Alligator mississippiensis: one gene and its partner. The protein of the gene in region 1 purifies or fractionates together with the protein of each later gene. This does not show direct contact. Links are inferred from orthologs where the notes say so. Each region holds a gene or a part of one and is shown in the gene's direction. Other genes may lie near its edges.

Evidence for each region.
Region 2: the proteins of CLK3 (region 1) and TNPO3 purify together in Homo sapiens (affinity purification with mass spectrometry; 4 studies listed by BioGRID and IntAct, counting the BioPlex papers as one, with this or other methods). This does not show direct contact. The link is inferred for Alligator mississippiensis from reciprocal best matches to the Homo sapiens genes CLK3 and TNPO3.

What each region holds. Positions count from the first base shown.
Region 1 is NC_081834.1:41,766,410-41,782,048, reverse strand, and holds the start of CLK3 (dual specificity protein kinase CLK3), read left to right. Parts: upstream 1-9,735; 5' UTR 9,736-9,789; coding exon 9,790-9,927; intron 9,928-12,017; coding exon 12,018-12,166; intron 12,167-14,832; coding exon 14,833-15,046; intron 15,047-15,639. Other genes in the region: myosin heavy chain, striated muscle, read right to left, coding at 1-204. UniProt on the Homo sapiens protein: Dual specificity kinase acting on both serine/threonine and tyrosine-containing substrates. Phosphorylates serine- and arginine-rich (SR) proteins of the spliceosomal complex.
Region 2 is NC_081827.1:4,059,099-4,075,209, reverse strand, and holds the start of TNPO3 (transportin-3), read left to right. Parts: upstream 1-7,990; 5' UTR 7,991-8,248; coding exon 8,249-8,374; intron 8,375-16,111. UniProt on the Homo sapiens protein: Importin, which transports target proteins into the nucleus. Specifically mediates the nuclear import of splicing factor serine/arginine (SR) proteins, such as RBM4, SFRS1 and SFRS2, by recognizing phosphorylated SR domains.

The sequences.
Region 1 (15,639 bases):
GCCCAAGAGTGGGCAGCTGTTAATGTAGCTTCTTTCCAGTTCCAACATGGAGGAGGGTGGAGATGCTTGTGGACCTCTCCTGTGTCTCTCAAGGCTCTTGCCAGTCCAGCCCAAGGACCCCAAGTCAGTGCTGAACTGGAAGCATCCATCACTGCTGTACTGGGCTGGCAAGCTAGTAAAGCCACTCCACTTCTGGTGGGACATTTATGGCCTTGTGGTGCAATGGAACAGGGAACAACCTCCCCGAATGATCATCAGGGCAGCAGTGTCTCAGAAACGTCTTCTCTTGTCATGGGACCTGGTGCTGCTTCCCTGGAGCTTCCAAGGGAAGTGTCACAGATCTAGCTCCATGGCACTGGGAGGAGATGGTATCCAGCTGTGGTGTGAAGTATCAAGGGCCTGTCAACCAAGGGCAACAAAAAAGGTCAGTGCACACCCACAATGGGAATTCCTACTCGGTATCTTACCCATGGCCCCTTTTCTCAATCACTTGCTACCAGGCTACCCCAGAACCCTCCATTCCACTTCCCACAGTGCTGTGGCAAGCAACACAATAAGCTGAGGCAGCTCCTAGCATCTAAGGAGGACCCAGCTGTGCCCAGCTGAGCAGATCTGCTTGGTTAGATGACTGGAGAGAAAGAATGGGAGGGAGTTTGCAATCTCCCTCTCTTACATGAATGTGTGGCCCTCACTGATGGTTTTGACCCATTGGGAACCCCTGCCTTTGTCTTTTCAGAGACCACAGTGATGAGCTTGGTATAAATGCCTATGCAGACAAACACAGACATTTCTCCTTTCCACCTTCTTTGGCTGCCATCTCTCCTTACTGTGGTGACTGCCTTAATGAGATCAAAACTAGGAACACTTATGTCCTACCGCAGTGACAAGGTTGAAGGCCGCTCTTCTCTGCTATGGGGATGGCAGGAGCATAAAGAGCTGCAGCAGCTAAGTCCCTAGCTGGTCGAGCCTGCTGTGAACAGAACTGTGGGCATGAAATATTACTGCCATTGTTGCTTGAGACTCTTATCGTGGACTTGGAGATGCCAAGCAGTCGGTAAAGGAGTCTATGTGAATTTCTCAGCAACACCTGATCCTCAAATGGGGAGAATTCAAAGGACGAACCTTTCCTCCCCCCCAAAACACCATTTGATCCATGCTGTTCTCCCCCATCTCTGTTCCAAAAGGCTTGTGTTTGCCATCACAGGGCATTCAATAGGAAGTGCCACAATTGCCTAGTGAGTGTGAAGTGGGAAAGCCCCAAGCTGTATCCACCTGCTCCAGGTTCTGGATAGAAGCAACCCTGGGGCTAGTGAGAGGAGCAGAGCTTAAATCCACCTACCTGTCAGTGAGTGTCCCCCCACAGCTCCTCAGAAATCCCTAGAGATCAGCTCTCCTGGGAGTCTAGTCCTTATGCTGAGCTGCTGCATGCACTACGTCTGCCCAAGCCAGGGAACACAGGACTGCTGCTGCCACAGCAACCAAGCAGGCAACAAGCCTCAAAGTGCCCATTTCCCCTCTCCTGATAGACTGACCGAGATTGTGAAATGCAGGTGGCTGCCAGTGGAAGAGGGGTGGAAGGGGCAGGATGGGGAACCAGCCTTTGGGGAGTTACTCACTGGGATCAAGGCAAGCTTGTGCTTGCCTTGTCCCATTCAAAGAAGCTGCACACACCTGGGTCCTCTCATCTGCCCCTTACATTTCTCCAGTAACAAAAGTAAAACTGCAGCAAGCAGGGAAACACCCAGCCTGCCCCTTCCACTAACTGGGTACTAGTGGGGTTGTTGTGACCCACTGAGTTTCTACACAGGAGAGGCTGGCATCCACCAAGCCCAGTGGATCTGTGTTTTGCAGAGTCTCTGTCAATGGTAGAAAGGCATAGTATTGGCATAGGGTATGCATCTAGTCAGACCTGCCAGCCAAGCCCACCCCACTGCTGAACTCAGCCCTCTCAGCACAACCCCAGAACCCATTTTTCTGCTTCTCACAGTAATTATGTTCTTCAAACAAACAAATCCATATTCCTTCAACTTCATGCTTTTAAGGTGCTGGGAGGGATACAGGAACAGACAGAACTGGCAGCCACAAACAGCCCACAATCTAATCAGACAAGACACAAAAGGTGGAAGTGGAAAAAAAATATAGAGGAATAAACAGACTTGCCTAAAATCCCATCACAGGACAGTGACAGGGCTGGGAGAGACAGCAACTTCCCATTTGAATATTAATTATCAAAAAAAATAATATTTAAGCCACTTCAGTTTGCCCCTCAATGCTTTATTCCTTCTTGTCTTGAAATGCAACAAGTGGAAAATCTTGTGTATCACACAGCAGTTTTCTTGCCACAGGCTGGGGTTGTTTGCAGCTGCATGTTTCAGTGTCTTTCCCCTGCTGCTTTGTTTGGTATGTCACGCTACAGACATTAGCACGCCTTCGTTCCTCACCTTCAGAAACCTTCCAGTGTTTCCATCAAATCTCTCTCACATACCATACATGACTTGTTGGCTATTAATAGTTGGCATCCACTTATACCTTTGTGAGTGTTTTCATTGACACATTTGCGCTCAAGGGGGAGGACTGTTGCGCTCAAGGGGGAGGACTGACTTCATTGGGAAGAATCCATCCCCTTCTCCTGAATGTCCAGCATCCATCCATCCCCTTCTCTGAATTGGTCATTTTTGGTAGGAGTTGCCAGACCCATGGATAAAAGCCGCTAAACCTAAGTGTTAAAAAAAAATCACAAATATTGTGAGATTTACACACACACACACACACACACACACACACACACTCTATCTATCTATCTATCTATCTATCTATCTATCTATCTATCTATCTATCTATCTATCTATAAAGAAAAGTGAGAGAAGCTTCTTTCTTCTGCCTTACAGTTTTTGAGAACTCAAGGGTCATGTTTTCAGGGTTTTCTCTACAACCCAAGATGCTAAAAACTTCCTTAAAAAAAAAGAGCAAGCTAATTTAATCTCATGACTCCAGGAGCTGGGGGCTTTAAGCAGATACCTAATGTTGCAAGACTGGTGGCTAGATCACAAGACTTGGCAACACCAATTATCTGGTGAGTGCAGTTAGAGGAATGCAAGCCTGTGCTGCAGATAAGAGGCAGTGAGTCCTGTTCCCCGTATCTACAGCACCAAACACTGTCTGATAGAGAGTCCCCCTGCCACATGGCTGCAAGAAGCCACGGTGCAGGGGAATTTCAAAACAGGGGGAGTTTGTGGCCCATAAGCCATGGCACAGCAGACACCAGGGGAGAAAGTGTGTGTGGCAGGGGAGAAAGTGTGTGTGTGGGGGGAGCAGTTCAAAGTGGCCAGGGAGAGCAAAATCCCAACGATTACATACTATAGGAACCCAGTGCTGCAGGCAAGTTAGATCACCTACACTCGTCTACGACGGAGGCCAAAACTTAGACCCTGAATTGGCGCACACACTCTTACATTAACAGCCAAGCCAAGAGCAAAGAGTCCCTTTCATGGGGGAAAGAAGCAAACTATCTTTAGCAAAACAACTCCCTGGAAGAAGTAACCTAGCACAGATGGTCATGGTTTGCTATTGCTGAACTTGCCTCTTTGGTGACTGTAGGAATGATTAAATGCAACGCAACAGGTCACCAGGGGCTAATGTTTTTGGCAGGCATGTTACAAATTAGCCCCAAACTTGAGTACCACCCCAGTCTCCTTCCTCTGCATCATGCTCCGCTTTCTGCTCTGTCACTGTACTGCTTTTCCCCTCCACCACATGCCACACACAGAGGCTGCCTGTGCTTCTTGTGGCACACATGCTGCATTTTGGCCACCCCTGTAATAGCTGATGAAATGTTTTATCAGGTATGAGCCTGACAATCCCAAGAAGGCATGATTTGAGAAAGACAGAGAGGAAATCACAGCAAAACAATGAAAATGCTAATACTGTTAGAAGGGAGTGTGAAGAGCCATGGATATGCAAATGCAGAAGAAAAGGTGGCAGGGTTTTTGGTTGTGGCTGTGTTGGTCAAAGGACATAGGCAGGAAACTTCTTTGGGTAGATGTAATATCTTTTATTAGATGAACTAAGTAGCTGGAAAAAAGTTATTTTTTCGAACTACTCAGTTCGTCTAATAAAAGTTATCTAAAATAATAAAAGATAATAAAATTGGTCTAAGTTTATTAACAGTTAGTCTAATAAAAGATATCTAAAAAAAGAACTTTACCCCAACTATTCAGTTGGTCTAATAAAAAATATCACATCTACCCAAAAAATCTTGCCTCCCGAAGGAAAGGTGGGTAACATGGTGCCAGAATGGCATGCCAGGCTTTAGCCCTGGGTGTCTACAGCAAAAACTCATCAAGAATGGATCAACTTCATGGTTAAGATAGACTTAGATGAGCTTTCGGGTAGCCTTCCTCATATTTCCTGGAAAAGCATGGCCACAACATCACTTGAACGCTACCAAAGGAAGTTTCATTGTTTTGGAAAAGGCAAGATAAATACATGTTAAGTTTCCGGCTATATCAGATTAGTTTCTTGAACTGAAAAGAAAATGATGTAGTGAGAAATCTAGGGGCGTAAAATGGAGTGAGAGGGAGGGTTTCTTTGCTAATGCAAAGTGAAGCTGTGCCGAAGCCAGCCAGTCTGAGCCTTCATGGATCCCTGAGCTTAGACTTATTACAAGTGTATGATCAATGCATATGATAATCTTACTGCACTGATGTGGTCATTATAAGTATTGCAATGCTGTTATCTAACATGTTCGCATTCTGTTACAGTATTTTAGCCCATTCATTTAAAGAAACTGTACAACTGTTCTCACCCCATACTGGTGAACAAGTTAAGAGGCTGTGACGTGGATGACTACACAGTCCGGTGGGTGGCGAATTGGCTGGAGGGCCGCACCCAGAGAGTCGTGGTGGATGGGTCGGTCTCGACCTGGAAGGGTGTGGGCAGTGGGGTCCTGCAGGGCTCGGTCCTTGGACCAATACTCTTTAATGTCTTCATCAGTGACTTGGACGTGGGAGTGAAATGTACTCTGTCCAAGTTTGCAGATGACACAAAGCTATGGGGAGAAGTGGACACGCTGGAGGGCAGGGAACAGCTGCAGGCAGACCTGGATAGGTTGGACAAGTGGGCAGAAAACAACAGGATGCAGTTCAACAAGGAGAAATGCTAAATGCTGCACCTAGAGAGGAAAAATGTCCAGCACACCTACAGCCTAGGGAATGACCTGCTGGGTGGCACAGAGGTGGAAAGGGATCTTGGAGTCCTAGTGGACTCCAAGATGAACATGAGCCGGCAGTGTGACGAAGCCATCAGAAAAGCCAATGGCACTTTATCGTGCATCAGCAGATGCATAACGAATAGGTCCAAGGAGGTGATACTTCCCCTCTATCGGGCGCTGGTCAGACCGCAGTTGGAGTACTGCATGCAATTCTGGGTGCCACACTTCAAGAAGGATGCGGATAACCTGGAGAGGGTCCAGAGAAGGGCAACTCATATGGTTAAGGGCCTGCAGACCAAGCCCTACGAGGAGAGACTAGAGAAACTGGACCTTTTCAGCCTCCGCAAGAGAAGGTTGAGAGGCGACCTTGTGGTTGCCTTTAAGTTCATCACGGGGGCACAGAAGGGAATTGGTGAGTATTTATTCACCAAGGCGCCCCTGGGGGTTACAAGAAATAATGGTCACAAGCTAGCAGAGAGCAGATTTAGATTGGACATTAGGAAAAACTTCTTCACAGTTCGAGTGGCCAAGGTCTGGAACGGGCTCCCAAGGGAGGTGGTGCTCTCCCCTACCCTGGGGGTCTTCAAGAGGAGGTTAGATGAGCATCTAGCTGGGGTCATCTAGACCCAGCACTCTTTCCTGCCTATGCAGGGGGTCAGACTCGATGATCTATTGAGGTCCCTTCCGGCCCTAACATCTATGAATCTATGAATCTATGAATCTATGAAACTGCTATTGGCCTTTGGATTTAATAAAGGCATTTTAGCCAAATTCTGGCATGGTCAATTGAATGCCAGTCATGACTGGGCTCAGTGGGCTGTTGGGACCTTTCCCTTTTTATTTAGTCTCAGTAGAAAAAGAACAAGAACCTTGAGCTTTTACCGACCAGCTACAGTATCTGTGGAGCAAACACTGATTCATGGAACAAGCCTATGAGATTAGATAGAAATATGGGGCCAAAAATATCCCTGTTGTAATTTAGCAAACTCAACAGAATTACACCAATGATTTTGCCTTAGTGTAATGGCACCCACATGACAAATGGGAATGCTGAAGCTAAGTGACTTGCCTGAACCCACACTATCAGTTAGTGGCAGAGCTGGGTGTGAATGTATTCAGATGTTGACTCTTTTCCAGATCTACATGCCATACTCCAGCTCTGCTTCTTTTTTAAGGACTAAGATGTGGGTGATTTTAGATTTAGGGAACCAAGACTTCTGAATTTGTTTGAAATGGGTACAGTTGGTGAAATGTCAAGAATAAATGCAGTATGTTTCTGTTACTTGTGTACTCATTCATCCATCCAAACTGTACAAATAAGTGGACTACACTAATAAATGGAACAGAAAAAAATTGCAAAAAATACATTAAAAAGCAACAGAAACAGATAACATAATTCCTGATCCTAATGTGGCACTGAACTGCAAGTCATTCCATACATTTTTCTGTCCAGTTTTAAAGACTGGGTGCTGAATAAATGAAATACTATGGGAATTGCTGTTCATTTACATCTTAGGCCTACATGTGATGGTATACGTGTGTAATGAATAAGGAAACCTCACACAAAACTGATCAATTCTCCTTCTCTCAGACATACCGTTGAATGAACAGTCCTATATAGGCAATAGGGTGGTTAATGAAAGGAATCATGTGTAATGTATCTCAAAAAAAGTAAAATACACTGTAAAACAACTAGATTACAAAAATATTTCATATCTTGAAACATTATGGTAAGTCATCTGTTGCAAGAGGAAATCTTTTTTCGTACTGCTCTACTCAACCATTGCATTATTTCTCTTTGGCTTTCTTTTTCTAGTCCTGGCTTATGCAATAAACCAAAATATGCTAAAAAAAACCCATTATGTAAATAATTGGGTGATGTTTAACTGAAGAGATAGTAAATGTTTTTTGACCTACTGGAAAGTAGGCAAATAATCAATACGCAACAAAGCAGAATTTACTGTATGCACCAATTATTCTCAGCCGGGGTGCTGCAGCACCTTGGGGTGCCTGGAGAGTCTTTCAGGAGTGCCACTCAATGTAGCACTGCTAGGCAGGCAAACATGATTCACAAGATAAACGCAGAGGCATCAAACAGGAAACCAAAGCTTCAAAACCATTCTGAGCTGCTACGGTCGTTTTGAGTTCATAGAAGACAGACAAAGTTCTTTGGGTAAATCCAATATCTTTTATTAAAACAACTCAAATAAAAGATATCGGATTTACCCAAAGAACCTTGTCTGCCTATGTTCTTAGACCAACACGGCTGCAACCTACACCCTTGTCACAGAAGAGTTGCTCTATTATTTTTCCATAGTCAAAAATGGGTGAAAGCTAAGAGCGTGCACTTTCTGAGGGGGACCTTGAGTCTAACAAGGTTGAGAACCACCGTTACGCACTAATGTGTATAAAGAGCACTGGTGTATTACCCTTACAAAACACAACTGGATAGTACCATCCAGGTAGGGTTGCCAACTCTGAATCTATTCCGGGAGGCTTCCCAAATGCCAACGTGCCTGTGACACACACGAGCGTGCCCACATGCTTGTGTATATCAGTTACAGATTAAGGTGCATGGGCTTCAGGCCAGGAAGGCAAACGCACATGATTATTACATTTTCAAAACCCACTGGACTACTGTATAAATCAGATTCAACATTTAATATATTTATTTCAATGAATGCCCTATCATTTATCTTCCGGTGACTCTCAGCCGTCTCCTGGAGATTTATATCTAATTCCTGGAGACTCCAGGGCAATCCTGGCGGGTTGGCACCCCAACATGCAGCAAGCATTAAGGAGAATACCCTCAAATCTACACTAACTGCTGTTTTCCTCTTCACAAAGCCCCACACGTGTCTTCCCACCCACTTGCCCTTTGCAGGTCGCAGCACTACAGGACTATCACTGACCGACCCACAAACCATACACGTCTTGGTCCGTGCCGTCAGCTTCTCTGCCCTTGCTTTCGTGAGATCCCCACCGTGCATGATTTTCAACACCAGGCAGCGGGCAGAGGAGACAAAGCCGTCCCTCACCATTGAACCAAGAACTGACCTCTGTTCTCCGTGGTGGCAGGTGCCAGAACAAGGAGCAACGGGCTCAAGATGCAGCAAGGGAGGTTTAGGTTGGATATTGGGAAAAACTCTCACTAGGAGGGTGGTGAAGCACTGGGCCGGGTTACCTAGGGAGGTGGTGACATCTCCATCCTTGGAGGTTTTGAAGGCCTGGATTGACAACGCTTTGCCTGGGATGATGTAGTTGGGGCTGGTCCTGCTTGGAGCACGGGGTTGGACTAGATGTGACCTCCTGAGGTCCCTCCCAAATGAACTTCCTACGCTTCGAGAGGCGGGGTCGGCTTGCTAGGCCCCGGGAGGTGGTGGGAAGGAAGAAGGGAGACCGCTAGATACAGGAACTGATTTCTTGGGGCAAATCAGCAGAAAAGAGGGACGGGAGTGAGGTCACAGGTCAGTCACGAGGCCTGGTTGACGCGTGCGGGACACGTGGGCCTTGCGCCCAGAACAGTGGTTGCCCTCCGCCCTTACGGGGACGGCTCCTGGGTTTGCGTCAAGGGCGCTTGGGGGACAGGTAACAAGCAGGGCGAGGTGGCAGGTGAAGCACAAGGAAAGGGGACACCGGGGAGCCTGCGGGCGTGGACCAGTGAGACTCTGCCCGCAGGCGAGGGGGGATCCAAAACTGGGGGGAGGGGCAGTGGGGTCTGGGGACCCCCTGGGCTGGGAGGGGAGGGGAGGTGCGGTGCTGGGGAGCCCCAAGGGTGACCCAGGGCAGCGCTCTGCCCCTTTAAGGGGCTGCCCCTGCTCCCCACCGCCCCCCCCCCGGCCCTGGGCCCAGCTCCGCAATCCTCCAAGCCCAGCAAGAAGGCGGCTAGAGCGCCGCGCGGAAGGGGCCGCCCCCGGAAGCGCCGCTCTAGCGACAGGAGGCGGTTGCGCGCGCACACTGCGCGTCGTCGTCGGAGCGGGGCGACAGCCGGAAGCGGAAGCAGCGGCTGGGGCCTGGCTGGGCCCGAGAGCACAGCGCTGAGGGGGCGCGCGGCGGTGAGTGTGGGGGGAGGGGGCGGCTCCGCATCCGGCCCTCGGGGGTGGTGGGGGGGCGGCAGAAGTGAGGATCCCTGCAGCGCCCCGCCCGCGGCCCCCTCCGCGGATCTCCCCTCACGCGCATGCGCCTTGGCTGGAGCCGCCTCCCGCGCCCCGGGGCAACGAGGGCGCCAACCCCTGCGTCGGAGGCAGCGGCACGGCGCGGATGGGATGTGCCCGCCCGGCGCCGGGGCCGAGAAGCGAGGCGGCGCTTGCCCAGGGGGCTCGGGGCCTAAAAAGGTCGAGAGCGGAACCCGTTTTGTCCCTTGGCGCGGCGCCCGCCGGACCGCCGAGCTGCGGACGCGAGGGAAGGGCCGGGGGGTCGTGGCCGCAGCCGCGGGGGGGGGCAGCTTTTTCCCTCAAGCTTTAACGGGAGGGGGGGAATCCCCTTTGTTTTCAAGGGCCGACGGGAGCTCTCCTTTCCCTTGCCAGACAAACGACTGGCCTGGGCAGCCTGCCAAAAGCAAACTCGGGCTGGCTTTGCGTATGCTCCCAGGGGCGTGCGTGCGTCGCACCAATCCTGCGGGACAGCAGGGGTTGGTACCGATGAGGATTGCGCATCCCGAGCCCTCCTGCACCAGCAGAGCCGGGTCCTGGCTGTGGAGGGCCGAGGCATTCGTTGCGGTGAGATGCTGCCAACGCTGTAAAAAGTCATTGTGGTGGGGAGGGATCAGGAGGGCTTTAATTTTGGATTGGCAGCCAAGTCCTCTTCAGCAGCTTTCGGCCACGTCAAGGATACAAATGGGTCAAAGTCCTTTGGCGCTTCCAGGCCAGGATCAAGTGTCCGTGCGCGGTGGCGGGTTGTGTTAAGGATTAAGGCCTCGTAAAAGGTTTTTTGCGCTGAAAATGGATCTGCTGGCTGGCGTCTGTCAAAGCAAAAACTAGAAGCCTCTTTGGCACGTGGTGATTTGGGTTGTGTTTGTGATGTGCGTAGGGCAAACGAGGAAGCAGGCAAAAAGATGGGGGAGTCATGTAGTTGAAAGGAAGGGAAGGCTGTGGGCATGGGGATTACTTGCTTAGTTTTTCCCTCTCTTGGCTGGCGCTTGCTTGTGAGGCGGTAGTGGCTTAGCTTGGCCACTGCCCACCTCTGTTGCTGCCTGCAGGAACAAAACTGATGCTTTCTAGTGAAAGCGATGGAGGGACATTCACTGGATATGGGGGCCAACGAAGGTTGAGGGGCAAATATGTGATGAGGAGCTGGTAAAGGCCATCCACCCTGAAGGAAAAGAGGGGAGGATGTTTTGAAGGGGAGGTGGACAGAAAAGGGCAAATGAATTAGAAATAAGGGAGCAGGAGAGAGCCACACAATCCATACAAGGCAGCGGAGAGACACGGGTTAAGAAGCCGTTCCATAAAGGGATCCTGACGTGTGTTTTTCTTTTAAACAAAGTTTGACCTTTCTGCATCTGACTGACTTTCATTTTCTACGGTGCAGAACTACAAGCCCCAGACAGTAGTTTCATTTTAATGCCTATTTACATTATAACAGTGCTATGCTATTTGAGTTTGGACACTTCTGGGTTTGAATCTAAACTGACTTTTCAATGGGATTTTTCTTTAAACAATGTTTTGGTGGGCATTTTTTCTTTAATGCGTGGTAGTTTTGTAGTACAGGTTTAGTATCTTAAATCTTGAGCTGCTGGTTTGAGAGGTTTGCATTCTTTTCTTGGGTATTAACGTAACTGATAATTGTGATATTACATTCAAACAAAATTGGATCCAGGTTTCCTGAAATGACTTCTATGCTCAGTTGCCATCTGATACGTGGTGCTGACGGGGTTGTGGAGTGAGAGCAGAAGATCTGCTCGTGCATGAACTGCACAAGGCTGCTTAAGCTGCCAGGAATCCCTTGTGTAGGTGTATCCAGGCCACATCCCTTTCTGTGAGATTTACTTCTCCCAAGTAAGGCAGATGCAATAGCTACCGTGACTGCTCTGCGCCACCAGAGGATTTCTTCTTGCACGGGAATCCTCTTGGGGGCATTTCTAGTTAGTGATATTGGAGCAGGACAGAGGAACATGGGGGCACAGGCCATTAATTGGGCCATTATTCTAGCCACCATGTTTTTTAATTTCATGTCTTTTGATAGTGCTGGCTTTCCAGGCATTATTAACACAGGATGAGTTCAAACGAATGATGAAAAAGCAAGAAGGTCTGCACAAAGGCCATCTGGTCTGCTGATCAAGACCGAGTTTAATTGTAGTAAAGGAACACTTGATTTAATTTAGTCCCATTATAAATGGAGTTAAATTAGTTCCAGATTCTTATCCCCACCCCTGTACTCTTACAATCACATGTCCTATTTGCTTAAAATACTTTTGTATATCTCTAGCTTATAAAATATTTGCAAATGGTGTGAGAGCTGAATACATGAGGGAAAAAGTGAAATCTCAGTGGAGAGTGGAAAAATCCAGAAAAATATTCTGATTGTTTTTCAGTGGGAGTAGTAGTAGGTGTTAATAGGTATTAGATTGGAAAAAAGGGTGATGTGCAACTGTTCCCTGCTGTTGCACACATTGCGGAGACTTCTTTATTTATAACTGTAATTACTAATGTTGGTGATGACTTTTGTTGCTCTTTCTCTCATCTCCTCATGGCTTTTTGTTTTCACCTTCTTTAGTTAATAAGTAGGGAGCTCCATGAGACTTGCAAACTGTCAACAGTTTGTTCCAGTTGATACCTTTTACTCAAGTGCCTTCCTTATTGCGCCCCAGATGCATCACTGTAAGAGATACCGATCCCCGGAGCAAGAGACCTACATGAATCACAAATGGAAGAGGAAGAGGTCTCGCAGCAGAGAATACGAAGGCAGATTGAGATACCCACCTCGCAGGGATCTTTCAAGGAGATCACGATCTCGAAGGTGAGAGCAGGCTTTATCAAAGGCTTGGACTGTCTTCTAAGCAGTTGCTGTGGAGTGGGCAGGTGTCTGCCTTAGATGGCTGTTGTGTTTTTGGATAAACCTTTGATTCTCATCTGAGCGTTTGAGATGAGATGCCTAGCACAGGTGCAGGCCTGTCAGCTTTACAGGTACAGCAGAAGAATACCTAGCCTAATATTACATTCTTTAACTCTTGTTTTGCCACTTTCTTGGCTGTGCTTTCATTCTTAACCTTGGATTGAAGTCCATGGAAAGCTAAGACATGATTAATGCACAGCAGAATACACTTGCTGAATGGACAAGGTTGTTCAGGTGCAGTTAAAGATTAGTTACTCCAGCTTCGCTATTCTTTCATATGGACTACATTGAATAGTGATCTTCTGGATGAAGAAACCACCTTAACTGATGAAAACCTTTGCTGTTTAGTTTTACATCATGACTATCTCCATATAGGCTTGGTGTGGGTTCTTTAAGTGTTTGTAACTATACACTTTTGTGCTGCTTAGTTACCCCTGAATCCTCTCTGCATCTCTAAAGAGTTAGCAAATGGGGAAAGTTGTAGATAATGGTTTTTTGGCCTGCCTACAGGACTGGGGTTGGGGTTGGAGCTGTATTTCAGTTTTGGCTAAGTTCAGTAGTGACCTAAAGTTATTGCCATCTGTTTGGCAGCCTTCATAAAATAAATTGGTCTTGGTCCAGCATTGAATGAAGTGCCTACATTATGAGAATCGCTAACCTGTTTGGCAATAGTTGGCTGCCTTGCTGACATCCTCAGTACAGAGGAAAATGAAATAGATCCCCTCCCAGCCTACATGAGTGGCACCCAGAATAATGATTAAATAATGCAGACAATCGCATCATCTAATGTAATCAAATTGCAGTCAGTTACATGCCAAAAGTACTAGCCTTGACCTAGTAACGTTTGCTCTTAAGATGTAAAATATGCTCACCTTGTGTAAAATATAGTACATGGTCCAGTTCTATGAACTGTGAGCTTTCCTACCAAAATACTGCCTTTTTGTCCAGTAATGTATACCATTTTTGAAAGTGGTGATAGCACATGATCAGTGAATTTATTTGAAAAGCCAAATATGCCTGTCACCCTCTTTGGCAAAATACTGGGCGTCTTCAGAGCTAAAAGCATGAGTTGTTACAGTTGGAAATAAAGAGCCGTGGCTCTAGCTTGGAGCTATAACAGCTCCCACATCTTCTTTGGAATGAACCCAGAAGAGGGACCTTGTAAAACACTCCTGTTACTCTGCACCATTTACTGAAATCAAAGCTTTGATTTATAAAGACTTCCCTTATGCAAGCATTTATCTTGCAAAGGTGAAAGGACTGTCTAAAATCCTTTGGCACTGAGTTACACAGTGAGGTAACAGGATGGCCTAACATCCACCTTATCCACTTTATAACTGGTGTTATAGACCATTGTCACCAGAGGCCAGAAACTAGACTATACAGACTGAACTTCTTTTTGGCTCTCAGAGATAGTGTGTGCACTTGTACAGTACTCTAAGCTGCAGTGTCCTGAGTCCTTAGTAAGAGATGGTGTGGTATCCAGGCACTGATCATGATTGGGTCTCATTGTATCCCAAGTATCCTGCATTTCCCTGGGTGAGTCATTGTGCTTCAGTTCTCCTTGCATTAAAAAAAAAAAAAAACCACAAAAAAAATCCGTAGTTCTGCTTGAAACAGAAAAGCCACAAGGGAGGCTTGGGGAGAAAAATGTCCATATAGCATGGTGAGGAGTTTTATATGAGTACCTAGGTAAGTACAGACATGTACTAACCAGCTCCAAATGCTATGCCCCCTATTATCTAAATATGATATTGCCACATAGTTCCTTAGAAGTCCTTTTTGTTTTAGAATGTGAAAACTTGCCATGCTGGGTCAGACCAAGCAATCTATCCAATTAGTATAATGTCTCTCACAGCAGCGGAGTAGATGCCAAAGGAAAGAGTACTTAAGCAGGGAATATCCAGACTGATCCACTTTTTGTCCCTCCTGCCCTGCAGCTTCTAGCTTGCAGAAGCATAGGGAGTCCTAATTTTGAGGTTACACCCTTAACTGTTGTGTTTAATATACATGCTTAGGGACTTATCCTGCATGAATTTGTCCAATCCTCTTGTAAACCTGGTTAAACTATCCACCTCCACAACATCGTGTGGCAGGGTGTTCCACAAGCTAATTATACACTGGAGGGTGCAGGGGGAGGGAATCTGCCTTTTGTTTGAAACCAACTATCTATTAATTTCATTGCTTGTCCCATAATTCTAGGATTGTGCGAGACTGTAAATAGTAAATCTCTATATACATCCTGAGCTTATGATTTTAAAGGCTTTTCTCATACCTCCTCTCAGTAGTTTCTTTTCTTGGCTGGAAAATCCTAGTCTCTGTTGAGCTTCTCCTTATACAGAAGCCCTGTTGTACCCCTGTTCACCTTTGCCCTTCTCTGTAGCTTCTCAATTTGAGTTACTTAGGCTCAAAGCTCTGAGCAAGAACTGCTTTGGTATGTTCTCTGCTGCCAGGCAGAGGGAATAAGAGCATGCATCGTCAGGTTGCATTTGCTTGCAGCTGTGCTGTAGTTTTTGAACAGTGTGCCCTTTCTTCCCAGATTTATAAATGGGATCTTATTTGTAATGCAGCCAGGACAGGATGCCTTACCACAGGAGGTACCGAGAGAGACGGGACAGTGACAACTACCGGTTTGAAGAGCGAAGTCCTTCTTTTGGAGAGGATTATTATGCTACTCACTCACGACACTGGCGGAGATCGAGGGGCAGAGAACATCAGCGAGCAAAGAAGCACCAGCATCACTGTCGGAAACGCAGGACCAGGTCTTGTAGCAGTGCATCCTCGGTGAGTAGAATCCAGAATGAGTTTGAGAGGGTTCTAGGTTTTTAATTTCTCTTACCTCCTTTCAGCTTTGAATACATTGGGTGAGTACTTCTAATCCCTCTTCTGCTTTGTTGTTGATTTAAGTGGAACATAGAGTGTAATAATTCAATGTCTTAGACTCAAAGTGTTTAGCAGCTGTTAATTTGTGAAAGTCCTACCCTGTGTAGTCCTAATACCTGGGAAAACTAGACTATGCTCCCAAGGTAAAGAGAGGGGGAGAGGAATTAACTGGAGTTCTCTTCAGCACCATTACAAGGGTGCCTTGGATGCAGGTAAAAATGGTGACTGCATCTGGTTCTGGTTTCTCTCTGTGGTTTTAGTTTCTCTTTCATGTGATGAGGGTTCCGCTTCTGCTGCCTATTTACATTTCAGCCTGAACTATTATTGATACACAGTGATGGCACAAGATACTCCTTTGTGGATTGTGTCTATTGAATTGTGCCAGAATCTTGCGTCCTTTAGGGTGAATCAACTGTCGCACCCATTCTTCAATGCTGTTGGCACGATGGTTGTCAATTCTTGCCCCGCAGTATTAGGGAGAAGGCTTCTCCTTG
Region 2 (16,111 bases), on another chromosome or scaffold:
GTGGGGCTACAGCCTCCCAAAAATTTGCTGTAATCCCCCCAACCCCACTCCCAGCGCCACTGCCACCCACCCTGAGCACAGCATGGCCCAATCCCCACCCCCAGGCAGAGCACTCCCTTTGTGCCCCCAGACGAGCCGCTCACGGCTCCTTCCCGCGCCCCGTCCCAGCTGTGCAGGGCCCCTGCCCCAGCCCCACTCCCTCCCTCACCACCATTGGGGGGGGGGGGTGCACAGATTAAGGCCCCAGAGGGGAGGCAGGGAGTAGGGCTAGGGCTCGGGTCTCAATCTGCCCCCTTCCCCCACAGACGTACGTGCTGGGGGAAATAAATTTTTTCTCCGTCCGCCTCAATCTGCTCCCCACCTTCCCTCCCCATAGACTTACCTGCTGGCGTGGGGCGGCACGCGGTAGATCTTGGGTTGCTTTTAAATTCCAGAAGTGATCTCCTACTTAAAAAGGTTGGAGACCACTGATTTAGCTGGTGGCAGTCATCTGACTCGTGTATCTGCCAGCCAATGTCGTCTGCTACTTTCCTCCTAATGTAAGCGGGCGCTATGCCGGATAGTACATATAGGCAAGGAACAGGGATGGGTTTTAGGCAGCCGGTTATAATTCTACATGTATCATTTAGGTTGGTATCAATATGTTTACTGTGACTTGAGCGTCCCTACATGGTGGAGGCATACTCAGCCACGGAGAAGCAAAGTGCTAAGGCAGTGTAGGGTGGATGGATGTGCTCCCCACCTGGAATTTGTGAGCTTGCGCAGTATGTTGTTGCTGGAGTAGATGACCTTGAGAGATCCCTCCCAGCTCTTCTTTTCCTATGGCTCCTATCGCAGAAAGCTCTCTGCTGCTTCATGACTCCAACAACTTTCTTCTTTGCAAGCCTGGCACATCCCCTAGTTAGCCCCAGTATGAGTTTTTCTCCTTTCTTCACATGCCTTTGTCACTAGAAACATGTCTTGGACCCCACATCTCACCCACCCTATGTGTTCTTCACAGACTCCCAAAGTGCTACCTGATTTTAAAGCTTTTAATTTTAATTAACTCTCACCATCTTTCCTCTCATCCAGGGATGGATGTGGAGGCAGAGTAAAGTGGTGCACCCCCCCTTTGATTCCTGCTCCACCCAAATTTTACAACCAACTGCCTGAGAGGGGCAGCAGCATTTCTGTTCAGGCAGCACAGAGGGAGTCAGTTTAATTCATGGCTCATTATAATCCACCTGATCCCTTGGCATCTCTCTTTACTCCACAGGTGTTAATGACCTTCTCTCCTTTTGAATGGTCTTGATGTTCCACTATTCAAACTATCCTTTCCTTTGCAATGATGCTGTCTCTTAGCCGTTCCTGCTAATATCTCTTTTCTATTTCATGCCCCTGCCGGTCGGTTCCAGCGCTAGATAAAAACCTTAACTCGTTTGTGGTAATAGTAATTCAGGTGTAGAAACGACTGACAGTGAAGTATTGGATGCACTGTCAGGATGCTCAAGGAGGCTAGATTTTGTTTTATGAGTCTGAATAAGATGTGCATTTAACTATAGTGACTACAGGACCAATGAAACAACATATTTTGACTATTTTTTTAAACTCTATTGTTTAGCACACCTGTGGCACAGGTGACAGAAGTGGCACGGGCAGCCTCTCTGTGTGGGAGAGCAGAAAGCAAGGCATCAGATCAGACATGGAGCATAGGGAGGGAAACAGAAAGCAGAGCAGCAGCAAAAAGCAGAACAGGCACAGGGAACAAAAAGCTGAGCAGCAGGTCAGATAAGGGAAGGGGATCGAACGGGCACTTGCAGGGAGTGCAGGGCTAAACGTGGCATGCCTGCCAAAAAACTGGGCACACCTGACCTGGCAAATGAGTGCACATTCCAATAAAGTTATATTTGTTTGTGCTTTGATCTTAAGCTTAATAATATAGTGCTAGGCTCCTACTATATTAGTAAAGCTTCTAGTCTCTCTTTCACTTGAGAAAAATCTGTGATAATGTGTGACACCATCTGAACCCCTGTTTCTGAATCCTAGATCCACCCATGCTCTGCTCTCTAGGTTACTAGTTAAATCCAGTGCCAGGACTTTAGTGGATGAAAAGTTATCACCATTTGGTCAGCTGGTAAACCTCAGACCGTTTCCTAGCAGCTCGTTTCTGTGACATGGACCCTTTTAAATGCAGTCTCACAACGGAGAGAGCAACACTGAATGGGTGAGAGAGACTGACCCGGTATCTCAGCTCAGTAGGGCTTCCAGGTCAGGTGTGAGATACACGGGTGGTGGACTAAAGGAAGCAACTGGATTTAAACCTTCTGTGCTATCAGCTCAGCATCTTTCCTGCTTCAGCAGAAGGGCCAATACTTCTCCAGCACTAAGTTCACCCAAGAAGTTTCAAAAGTAATTTCTTAAGAAAGGAAACGGGTTTAAGGTATGACCTCTGACTCTGCCCAGAGTTCTGTACAGCATGAGGCATTTGGTGGACACACAACAACATATTAACTTATGGAAATATGTCCTGCAGAAGCTCTGATTCTTCCCCTCTGTGTCTCTACAGGGGAAATTGTAGGGTTTTACCCGTCTGTGGCTGACTGCTTTGTTTCGTTTCTCTGGAGCTCTGCTCTTTTGTCACGTGCCCTTCACTGAACATGCCCTTGTGATGCACTGCCTCAAGGTTGCAAAACTACCAGGCAAGCAGGAACTAGCACACAATTATGTAGGAAAAGCAGTGTCATGCAGGGAGGCGCCCCACCCACCGTAGTCTCAGAAAACCAAAGAACCAAAGAATGAGCGATGCTTACTGACCCACTATGACCACAGTCTTTCTGAGCTGAGTTGGGGTCATTTGCTTATTTGTACATAATAGGGGTGCTTGACCCCCTGGTCCATGGGGCTGCGTCATCCAGCCCACCTGGACCCGAAAATTTGGCAGTGGGGGAGTGGTGGCAATGTTAAGTGCTGCTCCTACTGCTGCTGAATTTCTGGACCCATGAAGAGCCCCGTGGGCAGGTAGCGTGGCTCTGTGCCCTAGATCAGGCACTCAAAGCTAGGTCAGTGTGAGGCTGGATCCGGATGGTACAAAGCTGGATCTGAGTGCGTGGGGCCGGATCCAGGCATTGAGAGACCAGGTCCAGGTGTGCGGGGCCCAATCTGCATGGCATAAGAGGGGATCCAGGTGGATGGGGACTGATAGGGGTGACACAGGGGGTGCAAGGCTGGAGCTGGCGTTGTCAAGCAGGACCCGGGTGAATGAGAACTGATCTGAGCAGCATGAGACAGGATCAGGGCAATGTGAGACTGGATTCAGGTGCATGGGGCCCTGGGGTCCGGCTTGCAGACTGGGTCTGCACCACTCATCCAGCCTGCAGGACTAAATGGTTGAGCACCAGTGGTATATAAGAATAAAACTCAGCTTTCCTGATGTGGATGCTGCTCAGAAGTCATCTTCTCGTTCCCTTCCCACTCATATTTAATACGTGTTTGCAGTCACCTCCTTGTGAAAACAAGGGGTGCTACAATTATGCTTATTATCAGGCAAAATGACTGACAACAATGAAAGAGGAGCAAACCAAAGTGTCACCAGTGCAGATCACAGAAGCCAGCTGGTACGGGACTAAAGTAGGCGAAAGGAAAGTGGGTCTCTGAAAACCAGCCCCTGAAGAATGCAAAGAAAAGATTTCCTTCAGCTCTACATTACTTCTGTGTAAGGCCCAAGATTTGGTCAGCAGTCACACCACCTCACTCTCTAATTGCCTCTCACAAATAAAGTGAGAATAAATCTCGTCAGAAGTTGAACACTTGCCATCTAAAAATACTCCTACAAGAAGCAGTCGTTAAGAGTACCGAAGTAAACAGGAGCTTGGCATAAGGGGGACGGATAAATAGGGGTGGCGATGGTCCACCCAAAGTTTAAAACCAAGTGCCTACCAGTGGCAGCAGCATTTCTAATGGAATAACTCATTATAATCTACTTGATTCCTTCTAAACTCTTCATTCCAGGGATGTTAATGACCCTCTCCTCTTTTTAATGGTCTTGATGTTGTACCGATCCAGCTAGCCAAGGCTTTCTTCTGAAATCCCGCTGCCCGTTCGCTGCTCGTGGTAGCAAAGCTCCTATTTCACAGATCATTTTTAACTCATTCCAATGAGGTTATATTTGGTTTTGTTTAAACCAAATAATCCAGGCCTAGGTCCCTAGCATATAACAAAGCTTCTAGTTTCTTTTTAACCAGAGAAAAATATGTGTTGTTTTTATATGTGATTATGCGATCATCTGCACCCTGCTTTTCAAAATTGTAGATCCACCCATGGAAGGGGGTGCGGTGCTGATGAAGGCGCTGCCTTTCAGAGATATGAAATCCAGCCCCTGAACACTTATGTTGGAGATCTGACTGAACTTTCTCATCATAACAGAGTGGTTGGCTTCTTGCAAAATACCAGCCTGCATAATTGTTTTACTTCTCTCAGCTTCCAGTGCAATTTCAGTTGGACCTGGAATTCTTTTGTTGTGCAGTATCAACACGCATTGTTAAATCAACCCCATTTTTGGTATCAGGGGGTTCCTTCATAGCAATAGGTGAGGTGATTTTGCTGTGTATATATCACTTTCATACTTAATACTCTTTTGAGATGAAAGGTGCTTTACAGAGAGAGGGAAAAATTGATTATAATTCTATTTCTCTCTTAATAGAGGATCACTTATCTGAATTTCAATTTTTAGTCATATACAGTAGCAGGAAAATTATGCAAGTGATGGCCTTTTTGGTGGGGAAGTTGTAAACCACACACAAAAAAATCACTTCTGCGCTCGTTCATGGCATAGGAAATGGATGAGCCACTTTTGCCCAGCTGTTAGCATAATCCAGCACCCTGCCCCCACAAAGTTTCAACAGCATTTCATCCCATCAAGTTTATACTTTGGTCAGCACTTGGAGAACAAGGTAGACAAAAATGAAGTAGTAGGGCTGGAGTGTTGCACCCATGATGGTCCAGGAAATAGTTGAAAGGCAAGCTTTTTGTGATATCTTTTTTGGTGTGTGTATATATACAAAGAGAGAGGGTGGGAGAGAGAGTGTGTACACACACACACAAGCAAGAGCCCTATCATCTATTACATTTTTTTTTGCCTTTCCACCTGAGGAAGGTCACCTGATGCCCTGAAGCTTGTACAACATCTCTCCTGAATGATACAGTTGGTCCAAAAAAGATATTGGAAGGCAAGATAGATTTGCACATTATATAAATACACAGACATACACACATAGGTATATATGGTTAGTGTTTAGACACGCCTCCCAACAGCCATTGGGAGACAAAATAGATTTGCACCTTATAGACTAATCAAAATGTGTGAACATGTAGACAGAGCGATAGATTGATCAATATTTATGGTTAGTGTTTATACCCCTCAAGGTGCGTGTGTGTGTAAAGAAATGCAAAACTAGTTCTTGGTTTAGATATACCTTTCATTAGACCAACTAAGAAATCGCAAAAAAAATAAATAAATCTTTTTCTGCACACTTTCGGGTGCACATGCCCTTCTTCAGGCTCAGGGCAAATTAAAGAAGGTAAAAAATCCCTATAGGTAGAAAATAAACTTAATTTTGCACAGAGGAAGCTGAAGGTGGACATCTGTTCCTGTAGGTCAGGGGAGGGCAAAATGCAGCCCACGGGCCGCATGTGACCCACCAGGCCATTCTGTCTTGCCCACGGGGCCCCTAAAAAGTGTAGAAAATGAATATTTATCTGCTCCTGGCTGCCTGTTGTGCGGCCCTTGGTGGCTTCCCGAAACTCAGTAAGCGGCCCGCCGCCCAAAATAATTGCCCGCCCCTGCTCTAGGTCCATGACAGTGTCTTTGCGAGTTGCTCTTTGATGTGCAGATAATATATGTGTGTGTGTATATGTGTGTAATATATACGTTTGTGTGTACACACACACACATATACATACACACCCACACTGTATACACACCCACACACTATACACACACACATTGTATACACACATACTTTGGTGGGTGGCATTTGTCTTTGGTGCATGTAGGGACCCCCCCAAAAGGCCAATCTATATACACACACACTTTGGGGAGTGGCGTTTGTCTGGTGCGTGTAGACACCTCCCCCCCCCGCCATGAAGGTGCCAATCTATATAGTATAAACACACACAAATTACACACACACACACTGTGGGGGGAGGGTTGGTGTATGTAGACACCCCCCCATGAAGGTGCCAATCTATATACTATACACACACAATTATATATGCACATACACACACACATTATACACACAACTTACATACAAACACACTTGGGGGGGGGGTCTTTGATGCATGTACACACATATTATACCCACCCACACAAATGTGCCAGTCTACTATATACACACACAATTATGTATGCACGTCACACACACACACACACACACAGGGGGCGGGGGTGTTTGGTGCGTGTAGACACCCCCCCCCATGAAAGTGGCAGTCTATATACTACACACACAAGTATATATGCACACACACACATTATACACACACACACGGGGGGGGTCTTTGGTGCTTGTAGACACCCCCCCCATGAAGGTGGCAGCCTATATACTATACACACACACAATTATATATGCAGACACACAATTACACACACACACACACAGGGGGCGGGGGTGTTTGGTGCGTGTAGACACCCCCCCATGAAGATGGCAGCCTATATACAACACACACAAGTATATATGCACACACACATTATCCACACACACACGGGGGGGGGGGGTCTTTGATGCGTGTAGACACCCTCCCCCATGAAGGTGACAGCCTATATACTATACACACACACACACACTTGGGGGGTGGTTTTTGGTGCATGTACACACATTTTATACATCCCCCCATGAAGGTGCCGGTCTACTTACTATACACACACACACACACACACACACACACACACAATTATGTATGCACACACACACACACACACACACACACACACACACGGGGGGGTGGGTCATTTGGTGCGTGTAGACACCCCCCCCCCATGAAGGTGGTAGTCCATATACTACACACACACACACAATTATATATGCTGTCACACAATTATACACACATACGGGGGGGGGGTGTCTTTGGTGCGTGTAGACACCCCCCCCCATGAAGGTGGCAGCCTATATACTATACACACACACACACAATTATATATGCAGACACACAATTACACACACACACACACAGGGGGAGGGGGTGTTTGGTGCGTGTAGACACCCCCCCCATGAAGGTGACAGCCTATATACTATACACACACAATTATACACACACACACACACACACTTGGGGGGTGGTTTTTGGTGCATGTACACACATTTTATACATCCCCCCCATGAAGGTGTCGGTCTACTTACTACACACACACACACACACACACACGGGGGGGGGGTGGGTCATTTGGTGCGTGTAGACACCCCCCCCCATGAAGGTGGTAATCCATATACTACACACACACACACACACACAATTATAGATGCTGTCACACAATTATACACACATACGGGGGGGGTGTCTTTGGTGCGTGTAGACCCCCCCCCCCGGGAAGGTGGGAGCGCGCGGCGCCCCCCGCGGCGCCCCGGGACCACGTGCGCGGCTCCGCTCGCGCTTCCGGGCACCAGGTCCCGTCCTCACGCGGAAGAGCCGAAGCGCGGACTAACCCCGGCCCCCCCCGACAGCCCCAGGGCGGGGCTGGGGAGGCCCTGCTGCCCCCGGACAAAGACCCCGCGCCCGGGGCAGGGCCGAGGCCCGGCGGAGGGGACAGGACGGGAGGGGACGGGGGACATTTTATTGGAGACCCGGGAGGGGGGGGAGGACGCGGCCCGACTCGTGGCCGGGGGGGGGGGTGGGGGGAGCCGCGCACACACATCATGGCGACGGGGCGGGAGGGGCTTGCTGCCACTTCCGGGTGGACGCGGGGGCCCGCTTTCCCCGTGGCACCGCCGGAAGTGCGTCGCGGCCCCTTCCGGCTGGCGTGGCCCCCGGGCTGGCGCGGCTGGGGACCGTTGCGCGGCCGGAACGCGGCGAGGGGCTCGCGTGTTTCCCGGCGGGCCGCGCTGACGGGGACACCGCCCTTTCCCCCCTCCCCTCCCCCACCCGCCACCCCCTCCCGGTAACGGCCGCGGCGGCGCGCGGACATGGCGGCGGTGGCGGCGGCGGCCCGCGCCGGTGGCGGCTGCTGAGGGGGCCGGAGCCGAAGCTGGAGCCGGGGGCGGGAGCCGGAGCCGGCGCCATGGAGGGCGGCGGGGGGAAGCCGAGCCTGCAGGTCGTGTACCAGGCCGTGCAGGCGCTCTACCACGACCCGGACCCCAGCGGCAAGGAGCGGGCCAGCTGCTGGCTGGGCGAGCTGCAGCGATCGGTGAGGGCCGCGCCGGGCCGCGGGGGGGGGGCCGGGCACGTGACTGGGGGGGCACCCCCATAAATAGCTGGGGGGGAAGCTTCCCTGGGGGGGGGGGAGGGGAGGGGAGGGGAGGTTAGCCCCCCCCCCCCCAGTTGGGATTATTTGCATCTTTCCTTCCTCATACACAGGAGGCAGCGAAGGAAAGTATCCGGGTTGGGGGGGGCTTGGAGTTTTAGGGGCTTCTCCTCCCCCCCGCCCCCCCATTGAGGGTATATGCCTCCATGGATAAGGGGGGGTTTAGGGCGATTCCCTCTCCCCCCCCCCCTCCACAGGCAGCAGGGAAGGAAAGTATCCCTGGGGGGAGGGGGTGTTTTAGGGGCTTCTCCCATCCCCCCACAATTGGGGGGATTTGCCTTGTGGGGGGGGGTTGTTTTAGGGGCTCCCCCCCCAGTTGGGGTGTTTTTCCTCTTCCCCTTTCCTTAGGAGGTAGGGAACAAAAGTATTGCTGGGGGGAGGGGCGTTTTAGGGGCTCCCCCCCAAGTTGGGGTGATTTGCCCCTTCCCCCCCATTACACAGGAGGCAGGGAAGGAAAGTACAGGGGGGTTGGGGTTTTAGGGGCTTCTCCTGTTCCCCCCCCCCCCTCAGTTGGGGGTATTTGCCTCCCTGGGGGGGAGGGGGTGGGGTGATTTCCCTCTTCCCCTTCCCTGACATGGGAAGCAGGGAAGGAAAGTATCCCTGGGGGAAGGGGTGTTTTAGGGGCTCCCCCCTCCCCAGTTGGGGTTATTTGCCTCTCTTTTTCCCCTCCTTACACATGAGGGGTGGGGGGGCAGAGGGGATACAAGAAACTCCTGAAACTCCAACTGGGGTATTTGCCTCCTTGGGTGGGGAGGTGGTGTTTAGGGGACCCCCCATTTGGCATTCCCCCCCTTTTCTCTCTCCACAGGTGGCAGGGAAGGAAAGTATCCCTAGGGGGGAGGGGGTGTCTTGGGGGCTTCTCCCATCCCCCTCAATTGGGGTCATTTGCCTCCCTGGGTGGGAGGGGGGGTGTTTATGGGGCCCCCTCTCAGTTGGGGTTAATTCCCCTTTTTTCCCTTTCTACAAAAGGCAGGGAAGGAAAGTATCGGGGGGGGGTTGGAGTTTTAAGTGTTCCCCCCAGTTGAGGTTATTTACTTCTCCCCTCCCCCCCACAGGAGACAGTGAAGGAAAATATCGAGGGGGGTGTTTTAGAGGCTTCCCCCCCCAGTTGGGGTTATTTGCCTCTCCCCCCCCAGGAAGTATAGAGGGCTGGAGTTTTAGGGGCTTCTCCCATCCTCCAACTGGAGTTATTTGCCTCCCTGGATGGGAGGGGGGTGTTTTAAGGGCTTCCCTTAAACTGGGGTTAATTCCCCCTTGTTTTCCCTCTCTGCAAAAGGCAGGGAAGGAAAGTATCCTTGGGGGGGTTAGAGTTTTAGGGGCTTCCCCCATTCCTCCCAGTTGGGGTTTTTTTTTGCCTCCCTGGGTGGGAGAGGTGGTGTTTTGGGGGTCCTCCCCAGTTTGCCCCCCTTTTTGGCCCTCCACAGAAGGCGGGGAAGGAAAGTATCACCGGGGGGGGGGGGGGGGAGGGGGCGGTTGGAGTTGGAGTTTTAAGAGCTTCTCACATCTCCTCAGTTGGGGTTAATTGCCTTCCTGGGTGGGAGGGGGGGGCGGTGTTTTAGGCTTCCCCCAAGTTGTGATGATTTGCCTCTTCTCCCCCCCCCCCCCCAGAAGGAAGGGAAGGAAAGTGTCTCTAGGGGGGAGGGGATGATTTAGTGGCTTTCCCCCATCCACCCAGTTGTGGATATTTGCCTCCTGGGTGGGGGGGTGGCATTTTAGGGGTTCCTCCCTACTTAGGGTTAATTCCCCCTTTTTCTTCCTTTGCAAAGGGCAGGGAAGGAAAGTATCTGTAGGGGGGGAGGGGTGGTGTTTTAGGGACTCCTCCAGTTGGGGTTAATTGCCAGTCTGGGCAGGAGGGGTGATGTGTTAGGGGCTCTCCCCACCCTAGTGTGAGTTAATTCCCCCTTTTCCACCCTCTACAAAAGGTAGGGAAGAAAAGTGGGGTTGGGGGGGGAGGGGGTGGAATTTTAGGGGCTTTTCCTTAGTTGGGGATAATTTCCTCTTTTTTTTTCTCTTCCATAGAAAGCGTGAAAGGAAGTATTCCTGAGTGGGAGGGTTGGCATTTTACGGGTTCCCCCAAGTTGGGGATATTTGTGTCTCTTCCCCCCAGCCCCCCTCCACAGAGGGCAGGGACAGGAAGTATCCCTAGGGAGGAGAGTCAGAGTTTTAGGGGCTCCCCCCCTCCCCCCTGCCACACCCAGTTGGGGTCAATGGCTTCTTCCCCCCCCTATTCCACAAAAGGTGGCGAAGGAAAGTATTCCTGGGTGGGAGGGTTCGTGCTTATGGGGCATCTTTCTTGTTTGGGATCAGTTGTCTCTTTCCCCTACCCTCCTTCCCTTCCGAAAAGGTGTGGAAGGAAAGTATCCCCGGTGGGAGGGGGTTTCCAGTCTCATCGCCTGAAGGGAGTGGCACAATGTAAAGAGAGCGGGCGGCATGCGGTAGTTTTACCCGTCTCTCCCTGCTCCTGGAGAGGGCAGGGCTTTGGCGCACCACGTTGTGTACTCGATAGTTGTGCACTCGACAGCAAAGACCTGAGGAAGGGCACTGTGGTATCCAAATGCTTGTCTGAGTCTATCCCAACCAGGCCATTGGGCCAATTGAACGTTCTCACCTTGCCCCACACTTAATTATGGAAGTTTAGAAATCCAGTAATCATTTTGCACAGGTACCGACAGCGGGCAAGCTGGTGTTACAGAATGTTCCAGCTGGTTAGGATCTGGACTTCAAAACAGAAACAAAAATAAAGTTTGCTAATAGACAGGCTGTGCACCGAAAGTAATAAAATAGGCAGTTGAAGAAATGGAGCAAAGCAAGTTAATTTTTTGCCTGTATTGTAGCCAGCTGCGTTCCCCTAAAATAGTAAGAAAGTTCCATTTCCCGTCTGTTATTATGGGTAACTTTCTTTATCCTGATAGCCAGATAAACAGATCAGGTGTCACAACATATCACTTCTGGACTCCACCCCAGTACTTTTCCGACTAGGAACTTTACTCTCCTACATTTGGTTCTGTGGAACTGCTGTGAATTGTGACAGCAGGGGGAGACTTCATTTCCTCTACTGTTTGCAGTCAAGAGCTTTTCTTTAATGGTTTATCCCACAGCCGGGATCTTTTGTTTTTGCCAAAGAAATTCCTGTTTCTGGTAGGCAGAGTTCTACTTCTTGATAGCAGCGGTTCCTAGCAAAGCAGACTTTCTGAACTGAAGACGGGAAAGGGAAGATTCCTTTTATTTGGGGCAGTTTTTATGGTGGTCAAAAGAGAGGAAATATAACCAGGAACCTGAGTCTGCATTTCTGTTGGGCTAGATTTTCTTCCTCTGTACTTTTTGATAAGACAAATCATTTTTCCCTGATTAGCTGCCCCCCCCCCCCCCCCCTGCCTTTCACTGGAGAAGTAGAAGGCCAGGTTTTAATTATTTATTTTTGTTGCCTGCTTCCTGAAACATCTCTCTGAATCTAACATTCATCTCGCATGGTAGAGCAGTGGCAGTTTTTGGCTACTTTTACAAAACTTACAAGTTGCACGTTGGGCTCTTCTAAACTGATCGGTGAGGTTGAGTCACTCTTCCTGGTTTCTGAATCTTCAGGCTGACTAGTGCTTGAGAGGGAGTGACAGTCTTGCTAGACTAGACATGAGCCAGCAGGCTAATCTGCAAGCTGGGAGCCAGTACAAATTGTCATTGGTCCCTTGGTGGGTCGTGGATGTTGCCTTTGAGTGTCCGTTTGCTCCCTCTGTGTGCAGTGTGTTCTGTCTTCTCTTTTGATCCCTTGTTGTGGAGCCTGTTGAATTAAGAATAATGTCATTACTAGTGCTCTAACATCATCTGCATTGACTCCGGTCTGTAATTGGCTCCTCTTCTCTGTGCTGTCTTTTGTTTCCAAAAACTCTTTGGCTGCTGCTTCCATTTTCCAGGGGGGAAAAGGAGTGAAACTTGAGTCCCTTATTGTTTTGTTCACTTCTGTGGCTTTCCGAGGAGTAAGTGTTGTACGGTATTCCCTGATCTGTTCAGCTGCAAAGCCTCAATTCCTTGTCTGGGGAGGTGGAAAGCAAGTGGGGCGTCTCTGTCAGACTGTCCCCAAATAGGTAAGTTTGTTTTTGGAGTTCTGGTCAGTTTTGGGAACACTGGGCAGGTTCAGAACTGACCTGTCTGATATAATCCTGCTGCTCCAGGTTTGTTCCCTAGCTAGCTCAGGTTTTAAACTTTTGTGAAAGAGAAGAAATGCTTGGGAATTTATTGGAAAATAGTAGGGGAAGGCTGAAATGCCAAGGAGGCATACCTGAGTGTGACTGTTTCCCTGGGTTCTGGTAAGTGTGTCTGTCTCTGTGGACAGGAACTCAAGGAAAAAGTTTCACAGAAGTTTAGGGCTTGAAGGGACATTGAGATCATCGGGTCCAGCCTGCCTACTCTGGACAGGAAAGACTGCTGGGGTCAAATAACCCCGATTTAGACTTGCTAAATGCCAAACTTTTTCTTCCTTTAGATGGCTCAAAATGGGGACTCCTAGCTGCGTCGGCAGCCTTCAAGCGTCTGAGAGCTGCACTTAATTTGCATAGCTAAGTACAGCATCTCTTCTGTGTGAATGGAGCCTGTGGAGACTCTGGGTTCCAGCGTGCACTTTCCACATCTGCTTGGATTGAAATGGAGTGATGCAAAAAGGGACTTGTTGCTTCTCCAAGCTGCATCTCACTACTAACAGCGAGGGCAGCCTTTGCCCAGAGTAGCAGCACTTGGGATGGTGCACTTTGCCTTTGTTTGAAGCTTCTAGTTCTGAACTGACTTTAGGGTGTCTAAAGACCTGGGTATCTAGGACGTCTAGTGGTTTTGTTTTGAGGTGGCTGCTGTTTCAGACAGCCCTAAATTCATCAGTCCAATTGTGGATGCTTTTTTTTTTCCTATGTTGAGCTGTCTCAAGCACTCGGGTTTTCTCCACAAGGGCTAGGGCTGGTAACAATTCAGAAGTCCACGCTGGTGTGTTATGGTGGCGTATAAGCAGGACAGCTGCTGTGTGCAGTGGGGTCATCAGACATGCATCTTAAAATGTTTAAAGTATGTAGATGCATGGGACGAAAAGGGGAAGTACAGATCCAGTGGGGCGGTCGAGAATTACCTTCTGTGAAGATAATTCATTGAATATTGGACCCTGAAGTCTGGCTGTACCCCTGCATTAAAGAGAAGGCCATCCATTTCCTGTCTGCTGCATGTAACCCTTTTGGTCCCACTTCAGTTCCCTGGTCCAATCTCTCATAAAGAAGTACAGGCAAAGTTACCAGATCTCTTGGGTTCTTTCTAGCCCGACTGCATGTCTGGGTGGGATTTGTCATTTGGTCCCATTCTCTTGTAAATTGGTGACCTGGGCTTCTGCCTGTTTTTTGTGCCAGGTTGCGCTTATCTGTGGTTTGCCAGGTTGCTTTATGAAATAAAGCAGTGGAGTACGCAGTTCATTTTTAGTTTTTGTCATCTTGAGTTCCTTGTCCAGCTTAACTTATCATTCCTTAAACATTCGTTCTATGCTAACCTCTCCCTTACGTTACTGTAATAAAATAACCCATAGTGGCCACACAAGGTACTTGCCTACAACACCGCTGGTTGCTCACCGTTACAATTGTAGTAAGCGTGTTGACCTAACTCTTATGCCAAAGGAAATCCTTTTTTTCCATTTATAAAGAACTAAAGCACTTTCTCATGTCACCTCATGAGAACTGTTTTCAGAAATCCTTTCCGGGTTTTAGATTGTCCAAAGTTGTAGATAGTCTGTCTGCTGGTTTACTGCACAAGTTCTAGTGCCAGGGTTTTAAAGAGCCCACGCTAACACATCTCCCAGTTAACATTTCTAGCTTTCATTCTTTTGTATTGATGCTCGCATCAGGTCTGGTGTTTGATTTTAGGGGCATCTTGTATGCGGAGTTCTGAGAATTGCTCCCCAGGAGGCCCCCGAGCCCTTCCATGGAACAACAACGTTCTTGGTTCAGGGAATGAAGGAAACGAGTTTAGGCAGAAATTGGGTGCACTTGGAACAGAAAATAGTGCTAGTTCAAACCCTTCAAACTCTCAGTGCTAATTAAAGAAAGATGCCGGTCGTTAGGCACATCTTATCTCTGTTCTGACGTACGATTTGACCAAGGATGCAGAGAGAATCTGACTCTTTTGTTCATTTTCCTTTGAAATAGGAAGGAGTGTCAACAGTGAGGCCCATGGGCCAGATCTGCCTGCAGAGGCCCATCGTCTTGGGCCCTGGTGCTGTTCCTGGGTCTTAGAGTTGACCTGTATGTGAGGCCTGCCCTGGCTGCTCTGAGATCTGCGTTGCACCCACCCCACATGCAGTGCAGCCCCAGACCAGCTGGGCCAGGTGCTGGATCTGGCATGCAGAGGTGAGGGCAGGGGGCTTTGTAGGCCCAGTCTGGCTTATGGACCTGGCCTCATGCCACTCATCTGGCCTACAGGAGATTGACACCCCTGTAATAGGGGAAACAGTAGTTCCTACTTGGTAGAGAGGTTTGGTTGAAGGCTAGTTAATCCTCAGTTAATAGAAATACAGCTTTCTTCAGCTATCAGCTTGATTTTTTTTGTTTTTTGTTTTAGAAGGTGCCCTGGACATTATATTAGCTTTACAGTGTTCTTAGACTTGAAAATGGACTAAACCTCATAGTATTGCTTGAGATAATACGCGTCATTGCCGTGTAACAAAAATGACTGAATGAGGCATGTGCCTCGCCTCACAGGAAGTTGGTGACTGATCAAGAGCTACTGGCCAGATTTTATAACATTCTTCCTTCTTAAAGAGAGAATGCATGGAAGCTTCAGCACGTTTTGTCTATTCGGGGTGCGGGATTTATTTGTGCTTAATAAACCACGGTAATCCTTTACACAGTTATTGGCAGTGAACACACGCTCAGCTCTTACGGGGATGTTGTATAAAGGAGGGGGGTTAGTCAATTTTGGTGGTGTTGGCAGTTTGCAAACTATGTGCAGCAGTGAGTCATACAGTGCCGAAGCGCTGTTTGAAAATGGCCAGTTCTCATATGTGTATAATAGGAGGATTTAGGGCACTCCAGTGAAATGCTTGCTAAGCCCCGGCCAGAGAGCAGGCATTGAAGCAAGTATCTGTTTGAAAATTCCAGCATAAAGGTCTCTCCTCTCTCTTTGTTAAATGGCAGCATTCCTCTGCGCCCCCCAGACGCTAACATGAGCTGCAGCTTTTCTGCTTCACCTGGCTTCTGCCAGGCTGGAACGGTCTTTCTGAAACTAGGGCCTTTCCCATGGTGCACATGACTCTGTACCCTGCTAGCAACCCCAGCACACACCCCTGACAGACAGCCACTTCCCTTGGAGCAAGGAGCAGTAGCTTTTCACTCACCCTCTTTATTACTAATGCTTAGTTACATGGCGCATCTCATCCATAAATCTCCAGATACCCAATATTAGCCTGTATCCTGGAGGTGATGAGACTGCAGCACTGAGGTGGTCAGTCATTTGCTCAAGGTGGCTCAAAGGCTGGCCTTGAATCCTGACCCTCAGTGTGTGCTTTGTCCATTGGATGCTGATGCTTTTGTAAGACGGGTTTGTTCCAGAGGGGGATAAAACTGTCTCCTGGACCCCTCGCCCTCTATTCCTTTGACCATCTGG